2 linked regions of the Danio rerio genome follow. The protein of the gene in region 1 binds, or shares a complex with, the protein of each later gene. Links are inferred from orthologs where the notes say so. Each region holds a gene or a part of one and is shown on either strand. Other genes may lie near its edges.

Region 1 (4,258 bases):
ATCACCATAGTTTTATACAAACATTGACTTTTATATCTCACAATTTTAACTTTGTTTTCTCAGAACTGCTACTTTATTTGTCATAACTGTGAGTTTATTGGCTTGACCATAATTCTGCCAAATGCTTTTCTAGCAACAAGTGAAACTAAAACATACAGAACAATACACATAAACCTAATTCTGAATGAAACCAACACACACCACATGGTATATCAAAGTACTTTAAAAATACTATAGTGATTATCAAGATACAAGAACAAAAGATGGTACTGTAACTGTACAGTATGTAAAGTGCTAATTAAATAATAGCAACATAATATCAGCCTCATATAAAAAAAACATTGCTGTCTAAACTTACCCACTAAACACTCTGAATGTTTCTGACACATCTGAATTAAGCTTTAACTAAAGCACCTCTTCTATGAGAAACACAAACGTGACTTAGGAAACGTACACTAGAACAAATCAATATTTACACAGTCTGACATCACAAACCCGAGCAGTAACTGTACATCTGAATTAGGCTGATTTAGGCATGGTAAACAATATAGGGAGCATGTCCCAAGTTGTCACTGAATGAAAGTGCGAATATAAAAACCAACTTTACCTCAATCTGTACGATATTGGAAAAAAAATTTGTTTGTTGCAATATATTAGGATATAAATAAATTTTCAACAGAATATTTAAATAGCTCTATTTATAAAGATTTAATTTAGACTGATTGGGATGATCAAGTCTTTTTCCATGCAGTGGATCTGCATAAAATATAACAAATTACAAGCAAAAATAAACAAGACAGATCAAAAACAAAAGTTACACAAACAATGATAAAGTTCCACTCTGTATTTATTGGTATACTCTGCCATGACTCCACAATGTATCATGTATTCTCAACTGCTGTGCTGATCGACTATAATCGCAACTCAACATTGCATATCCTGCGATGTGAATATTGTGGACACACACATTGCGATATCGATGCTGAAACGATATACTGCTCAGCCCTAATCTAAAAAAAAAAATACAAAATGTCAAAGTAAAGACTACAAATTAAATATAAAATCTCAACCCTGCTGAATCCATATTTGAGTTCAATTCTTCGAAACAAACAAAAACTTATATATAACGATAATATACCAACAATAACGATAGTGTCAGGGTTTTAATTTAAACCGATAAGTTATAAAGATAACATACCGACAATAACGATACTGTCAGGGCTTGTATTTAAACCGATAAGTTATAAAGATACTATACCGACAATAATGATAGTGTCAGGGTTTGTATTTAAACCGATAAGTTATAAAGATAACATACCGACAATAACGATACTGTCAGGGCTTGTATTTAAACCGATAAGTTATAAAGATACTATACCGACAATAATGATAGTGTCAGGGTTTGTATTTAAACCGATAAGTTATAAAGATAATATACCGACAATAACGATAGTGTCAGGGTTTGCATTTAAACCAATAAGTTATAAAGATAATATACCGACAATAACGATAGTCTCAGGGCTTGTATTTAAACCGATAAGTTATAAAGATACTATACCAACAATAACGATAGTGTCAGGGCTTGTATTTAAACCGATAAGTTATAAAGATAACATACCGACAATAACGATAGTGTCAGGGCTTGTATTTAAACCAATAAGTTATAAAGATAATACACCGTCAATAATGATAGTGTCTGGGTATTTTTACCAATAAGATATAAAAAATAATATACCGACAATAAAGATAGTATCAGGGCTTAAATTTTTAACGATAAGTTACAATGATAATATATCGACAATAACGATAGTGTCAGGGTTTGTAATTTTATCGATAGGTTATAACGATGATATAAAGACAATAACGATAGTGTCAAGGTTTGTAATTTTATTCATAAGTTATAACGATAATATACCGACAATAAATATAAGTTTATATGTGTTAAACCTTCAGAATAAACATAATGTAACAAAATAAATTTTCTAAAGCAATTATAAACCCTAACTTCATTCTCACTGCGTCATTCACAAAACAATTATTAAACTACCACATTTAATAAACCATACCAGAACATAAACATTGAATGGACAATTGTATTTGTATTAATTAACGTCAACAAAGACACATAAAAAAAACAGTAACAAACGTTTTGCTCATCGCAAAAACGAATGGATTAACGTTAGCCCTATTATACATTACATCATCAGCTAATATAAACTCTCCAAGCAATAGAGATTAGCTTTATTATATATGCAGCTAACGTTCATCTCTATCGCTTGGAGAGTTTATATATAATAATAACCCCATGATCAATACATTAAGTGTTTAATGATATCCAATTTATTAAAGAACTGAAATTTTAAGGTGTCATCAGTTAGAAACAGGCATTTAACGTTACTCTAAAAATAACGTTCTCAGAAAGATTCCTTTGATGCAGATGTGAGATGTTTGCTTTTGAGCCTAAAGCTAACTTAAACCACAGACACGAAGAACAACAAAACTGCTGGATTGTTTTACCTTTCGTGCGAAGAGCTGATGCTGAGTCACAGGACCAACAAGTTTAATCCTCATAGGACGCTGTTGTCACTAGTTAAGTTTGGTAAGTTTTACTGTCACTTTCACAATGACAGCAGTTAACTTAACGTTAGCTGGCTAACAAACACTTTGTTAGTCTCCAGCAGCCAGTAAGTCCTCGCTTCCTTAAAACCTATGGGGTTGGTTGCCCCCATCGGACAAAACCCAGCCGTGTGTAGTGTGTGGAGACAGCAGGAGAGTGTGTGCTTACAGAAGTCACGCTGAAGAGTGTTAAATCCATGCGGAATGTTTGCTATCTCGATGTAGCTCGGGCGCACGCTCCGCAACGTTCCTAGTGTGTTCGAGCACATCATCAACCGCTGCCAAATGCGCAGTCTCGAATGTCGTCGTGGCAGATTCAAGAGCTTCAGTAATGCGTATTTTTGGAGCTGTTTGGAGCTTTGAATAGGGGGCTTGAGATTTATCAGATAGTATTTTAATAGAGCGACTTGGGGAAAAATTAATGCTTATTAAATTGTTTGAAATAAAAAGCTTGTTGAATAGTATTAACAAAAAATATATATGGATTGAATAATTTGAATTATCAAGTGTTTGTATTTTTTAAATTACTTGAACTGTCAGGCTTTGTATTTTTAGGTCTTGAAATTTAACGTAACGTTAACTGTTTATTTAAGCTATCAACTAACGATATTTCGGTTATCAACAAAAATGCTATTTTGGGATTAGTGCTATTTTGGGATTTCCGCCTGGAAAAGCTTCCCAAATCCACATGCAGAGGTGTAAATGCAAAAAAAAAAAAAAAAAAAAAATGGTATCATTTTAAAGAAAACCCTTTGATTTTTCATAAAACACTATTGAAAGTGTTAAACTAACTGTATATGTTGTCTGTGTTATGATAAACACCCAAAAAAGAGGCACTTTTTGCATTTTTTTATAAACTCAAATTTAAAAGTGTACCTTTTAGGTTCTGTGTGGTCTATGTTGATGTAAATAATGTTGGTGGTTCCTGCACATGTCTGTAATCAAAGGAAAAAAGAAAAATGTCTCTACCATAATCTATGCAAAAGTTATTGTATTCCAACTGATCATAGGTGCTATTCAAGCCACAGGGATCGATCATTGTTTTCATATTTCACAATTCTTTTGTTTGATCAAACATAATTGACTGTGTTTGGACCACATCAGACATGTAAAAGGATTACTTATGCACACCACCTCAAAAACAGAGGAGGCCCTGAAGCAAACAGCATAAGAGATGACAGCTGTCAGTGCTATCTGGGGCTGCTTAGTGATCATAAATGCACTGCTAGCCCTTTAAATCCTAAATCTTAAAGCGAAAGTCGATGACGTCACCGGTACCGGGTGTGTGTAAAATATTTTGTGGTTGAATTACAGCTTAACAGGTCCTAAAATACAAACCCTAACAATTCAAGCCAAATACAAATCAAAAGAGTGCTATTTAAGAAGCTTTCTATTTCAAATACTTTAGACCTTAAATTTGTTCCATAAGAGACATAGTATGCCTGTTATCTACTTTATAAAGAACTGAACCTTATTTGTATATAGGTTTTAGGGTCAAAACAGACCCAAATGCATTATAAAGGACAATTAAAATATATCCCCCTTTCTCAAATGATTTGTTTTGTGTCTTTAGAGTAAGAATGTGTAGACTTCATTATAAATGGTTTGCTTTTTATATCAGAATATAATAAAATAAAACGCT
Region 2 (4,570 bases), about 3.6 Mb from region 1:
AAAATGTACAGCAATTTTCACAAACTTTAAAATACATTAACATACTGCATAACTGCCCTGCAGTAAAATGCAGTTCATATTACAGTTAAAAACTGCTTAATTTACACATATTGTTAACAATGTAGTCACATTTGTTTCATACTACAAAAGCTATCCAGTATTGAGTTGTTGTTGTTTTTTATTTAAGACCTCGTCTGGATCAATTCAATAATCTGTGGTAATAAATGCTTTTCATAAATAACCGGTAATAAGTTCAATATCAGCATGATGTCAGTGATGTCACAACCCTCGAAGGCTCAGCAGGCTTTCTACAAGATGTAGCTCAGCATTAGCACGTATCATATTGTACATGAAATGACAGAATCAGACTTACCGCAAGCACCGCTGAATGATATTAACCAACTATATAAACCTAATAAAGTCCATATTTTAACCCGGACATGCTATGACAGAAAAGAGACAAGATGATCCGACACGCTGAACGACTCTGTTGTTCTGATTCTGCGTCCTCGCTCTGCTGTCACATGACACATGTCAGCTGATTTCACTTCAACGCGGTCTCTCACGGATTACGTTTCCGTGTTTCTGTTTTAAAAATCAAAAAGTTAACGATACACTTTTAAAACATTGCAGCTTTTGCAAAATCAAAATGACGTACAGAGTATGACGGAAGCTGTATGCTTTAGTACTTTTTAATGAACAAATTTAATGAAGGAAATTAACAAACTTTTTATTATTACAGTTCTCAACTTAATTTAATTTGAACGTATTTAATTTAATTATTTAATTTTGCTTAATTTTATTTAGAGAGCAACAAAAACAAGGGATCATCTAAAAAATGTGTTTTACGTTTAAAACGTTTGATATCACTTCTGATGCGATATCCAACAAAATGTTGTGTGCTGCTGAATATATCGTTGTATCTGTAGATGTATATGGAAAATACTATGTAGTAAACACTAGTCTATTTGAACCATATTATATTAAAGTGTCTTTTACTATATTTACAGAGCACAGGCTAACTGTTATTACGGTATTAGCAAACTGATAAAGTGTAACAAAATACTGCAGTAAACTCAACAGTAAATTGGTATAGTAGTATATTTTCTAGTTGTAGAAACTTGGTACACTATTGGGTTTTTGACACTATTTGTTGTATTACCAGGGACTATTACAATAACAAACTATTTCAAGTATTTTAGTATGGTTCAATTTTTTTCATGTGGGGATGGTATTTAAATCGGACTTGTGAGGAGCTTATAAAATGTGTAAATGAGTCAAAACAATACCAAGACATCTGGAATAGACATTTACGACATGGCAATTCCATGACTGTATGACAAGAAATATGTTTGGTTTTGGTCATGTGGGTCCTGTTATTAGCTTTAGATGTCCTTATTTGTTCATGTTGCATTTACATTACATTTAAACTGCACCAGAGTCTGAAACAGATTGGGACCCATCTTTCATCCAGTTTCGCTCCACTTTTGTGTAGAGCACCAAGGTTCAGATGACAGCATTAACATTAATTTAAATGAGCAGTAACAAACAAACAACAAACATATAATCAATTTAGTTTAATAATGCCACGTGTTTTTTGTGGTGCGAATGAACGCTTTGTCAGAAACTGATAGTTTATTGATGAGCCCTAAAGGAAACAGTGCGTCACCTGACCGTCCAGCAACAGTGCCAGCAAAATCGAGTCTGTAGACTTGAGTTTGCAGCAACAGTCTGATCGATCATGACGGTAATTACCCCCTTTAATATAACATTTAATTAACAATAATCCGTTTACTTTTGCTTAGGGTTTCAGAACATCCTAAGTTCGTTTTTACTCAAGATAACTTCCAGACTTAGCTTAGTTGCTAACGTTTTGATGAGTGTCTCTTATTGAATCAAAGATGTTTTCTTTCTTCACAGACTCACGAGTTTTTTGTTGACATGACATGTGAAGGATGCTCTGGTGCAGTCACTCGAGTACTTAATAAACTGGGTAAGGTTTAGGTTTTTTACATTTGAAATATTCTAATCGTAATATCGTTGAATTGTGTACTGGAACCATTTAAATGAGATGTTTGTGAATTGTGTTATTAAATGCATCAGATGTTGCTGCTTTCTTTGCTTTTTGTGTTAAAAAGTGCTTTGTCATGGTGGGACAGAGTTCATAGTTCATTTGTATTTCTCAACAGATGTCAAGTTTGATATCGATCTTCCCAACAAGAAGGTCTTCATTGAGTCAGACAAAAACACTGATGTCCTTCTGGAAACACTAAAAAAGACTGGAAAAACTGTTACCTACATTGGTACAAAATGAAAAGGTTTATATTAAAACAATAAGGTGAGAACTCAATTCAAATACTTCAGTCAATTGCACTCACAGAAGTTAAAAATCATTATAACACATTAACTGAACTATTATATAGTACAAGTTTCTTGGTCTTGTGATCAGACAGGATTTACTTGACAGTCCAAAGTTTGTTTTTATTGTAACATAAAGCTTGCATTATCAGTTTCCATCCACCTGTTAAAGTGATAGGTCACAAAAAATACATAAGTACAAATTTGCTAATTTTTACTTCTCTTCAGCCCTCACAATATGGCTTTTTTTGTTAAGCTTTATTGGAATATTCAACAACCACAAGCACTTTGACAGTAAAAAGCATATACAGAGAAGGAAAAAACTAAAAGGGATAGTTCATCCCAAAACAAAAACTAAAATCAATCACCTTTTATTTGCATGTTTTAAATCTGTTTGGGTTTCTTTTTTCTATTGAACACAAAAGAAGATATTTAAAAATTCATGAGCTTAAAGTCACATATAAGCTGATGCTGTTTGTTTACAACATTTTATAGAAACAACAAATAAAGAGTATTTTGATAACGAGTACAGCAGCATCAGCTCATGTTTGACTTTGCGCTACTTAAATTTATTATACTCAAGATTGCTTAAAAAAAACTAGGCTGTGTGGACTTAAAGAAGGCTAAAAATGCTGGGTTCTAGACAATCGATTTGAGTTGGAACAACATGACGGAATTTAGTTACCTTATTAATTTGTACAAATAGTAACAATTTACAATAAGGTTCATTAGTTAATGCATTTACTAACATGAACGAATCATGAACAACACATGTACAGCATTTATTAATCATAATTTAACATTTACTAATGCATTATTAACATCCAAATCTATGCTTGTTAACATTAGTTAATGCATCATGAGTTAACAAACTATGAACTACTGTATTTCCACTAACGTTAACTAACATGAACAAATACAGTAGTAGATGTGTTCTTCATTGTTTGTTCATGTTAGTAAATGCATTAACTAACATTAACTAATGAACCTTATTGTAAAGTGTGACTACAAATTTAAGTGGATTGAACATAAAACAATTAAGTTATTAAAAAAACTCAATAATTGTTTCAGCTAATTTTAAATAAGTCATTTAAACAATCAGCAAAATAAATTTCTGATTTGTGATATCAGAAATCAAGGATATTCCTTTCATTTTTCTTGTATATGTTTTTGACACAAAATACTGGTAGCCATTGGCTTGCATTTCACAAATCAGCAATGGTCTCAGTTTCAGCTAAAAATCCCATTAATTATACTCTTAAATAAAAAAAGAGTTAATTGCTAAAAAAAAGTGTTATTCTTAGGGCTGAACTTTTTATTTTTTAAGGTTGACAAATCAGTGCTGTCTCTGTTTTTGTACTAATAGTCTGTGACATATTTGTTGTAATGATTTAATTTGTTCTGATTTAAAGAGACAGTTCATCCAAAATGAAAATAATTGTTTACTCATATTCTAATGGTTCTAAACTTATGAATTTATTTTCTCTGTTGAACACAAAACAAGATAGTTTGAACAATGTTGGAAAAAAACAGCCATTGACATCCACTATGCTAGTCAATACCTGTTATTTTCAGCATACCTAAGTATATCTTCCTTTGTGTTCAATAGAAGAAAGAAACTCAAACAGGTTTGGAACAAGTGGAGCATGAGTAAACGATGACAGAATTTCTATTTTTGGTTGAACTATCCCTTTAAAAAGATCTCATTTATATTCTGAGCTACCGTTTTATTGCAGTTGAGATTACCTAAAGTGGACATGTGCTCATTAATTCATTGAAATTCATTGATGTTTTAATAGGTCAGAATCATGCTGCTTTGGAGATTATAAAATGGGACTCCTTCAATGGCCTGTACATTACATATCTGATCAATTGCTATGTATCTGCGGGACCACAAAAGGAAATTTGTTCAGCAGAACCACAAACAACTACCAGGCTTTGCTTTTTTCTTTTTAAAAATGTTCTGTTTACAATTATAAGAATCTTGATTAAAGCCAATCCGTTAACAGTGTGGTCTTTTTCCTGCCACACTTGTCTACATGTAATTGTATGTGTCCAGATGTTTAAATAAAGATTCCTGTATTTACTCAGAGGAAAACAAAATTGTCAGAGTGTTTTTTGCTTGTCCGTAACTAGAGTTTTAGTCAATTTTAATAGATAATAGCTTAATGCAATTTTATTTATTTATTTATTTATTTAATTTTTTTGTGTG

The links.
Region 2: the proteins of atp7a (region 1) and atox1 are in contact, whole or in part, in an NMR structure (PDB 2K1R), measured with the Homo sapiens proteins. The link is inferred for Danio rerio from reciprocal best matches to the Homo sapiens genes ATP7A and ATOX1. Residues at the interface, in NP_000043.4 of Homo sapiens: Cys19, Asn20, Ser21, Cys22, Trp24, Thr25, Gln29, Asp67, Asp68, Met69, Gly70, Phe71, Asp72; in NP_004036.1 of Homo sapiens: Thr11, Cys12, Gly13, Gly14, Cys15, Ala18, Arg21, Val22, Lys25, Lys57, Thr58, Gly59, Lys60.

Annotation. Positions count from the first base shown.
Region 1 is NC_133189.1:26,685,391-26,689,648, reverse strand, and holds the start of atp7a (copper-transporting ATPase 1), read right to left. Parts: upstream 2,874-4,258; 5' UTR 2,786-2,873; exon of another isoform or gene 2,303-2,785; intron 2,220-2,302; exon of another isoform or gene 1-2,219. UniProt on the Homo sapiens protein: ATP-driven copper (Cu(+)) ion pump that plays an important role in intracellular copper ion homeostasis.
Region 2 is NC_133189.1:30,257,311-30,261,880, reverse strand, and holds atox1 (copper transport protein ATOX1), read left to right. Parts: upstream 1-1,650; 5' UTR 1,651-1,741; coding exon 1,742-1,747; intron 1,748-1,920; coding exon 1,921-1,993; intron 1,994-2,189; coding exon 2,190-2,314; 3' UTR 2,315-2,338; intron 2,339-4,157; 3' UTR 4,158-4,456; downstream 4,457-4,570. UniProt on the Homo sapiens protein: Binds and deliver cytosolic copper to the copper ATPase proteins. May be important in cellular antioxidant defense.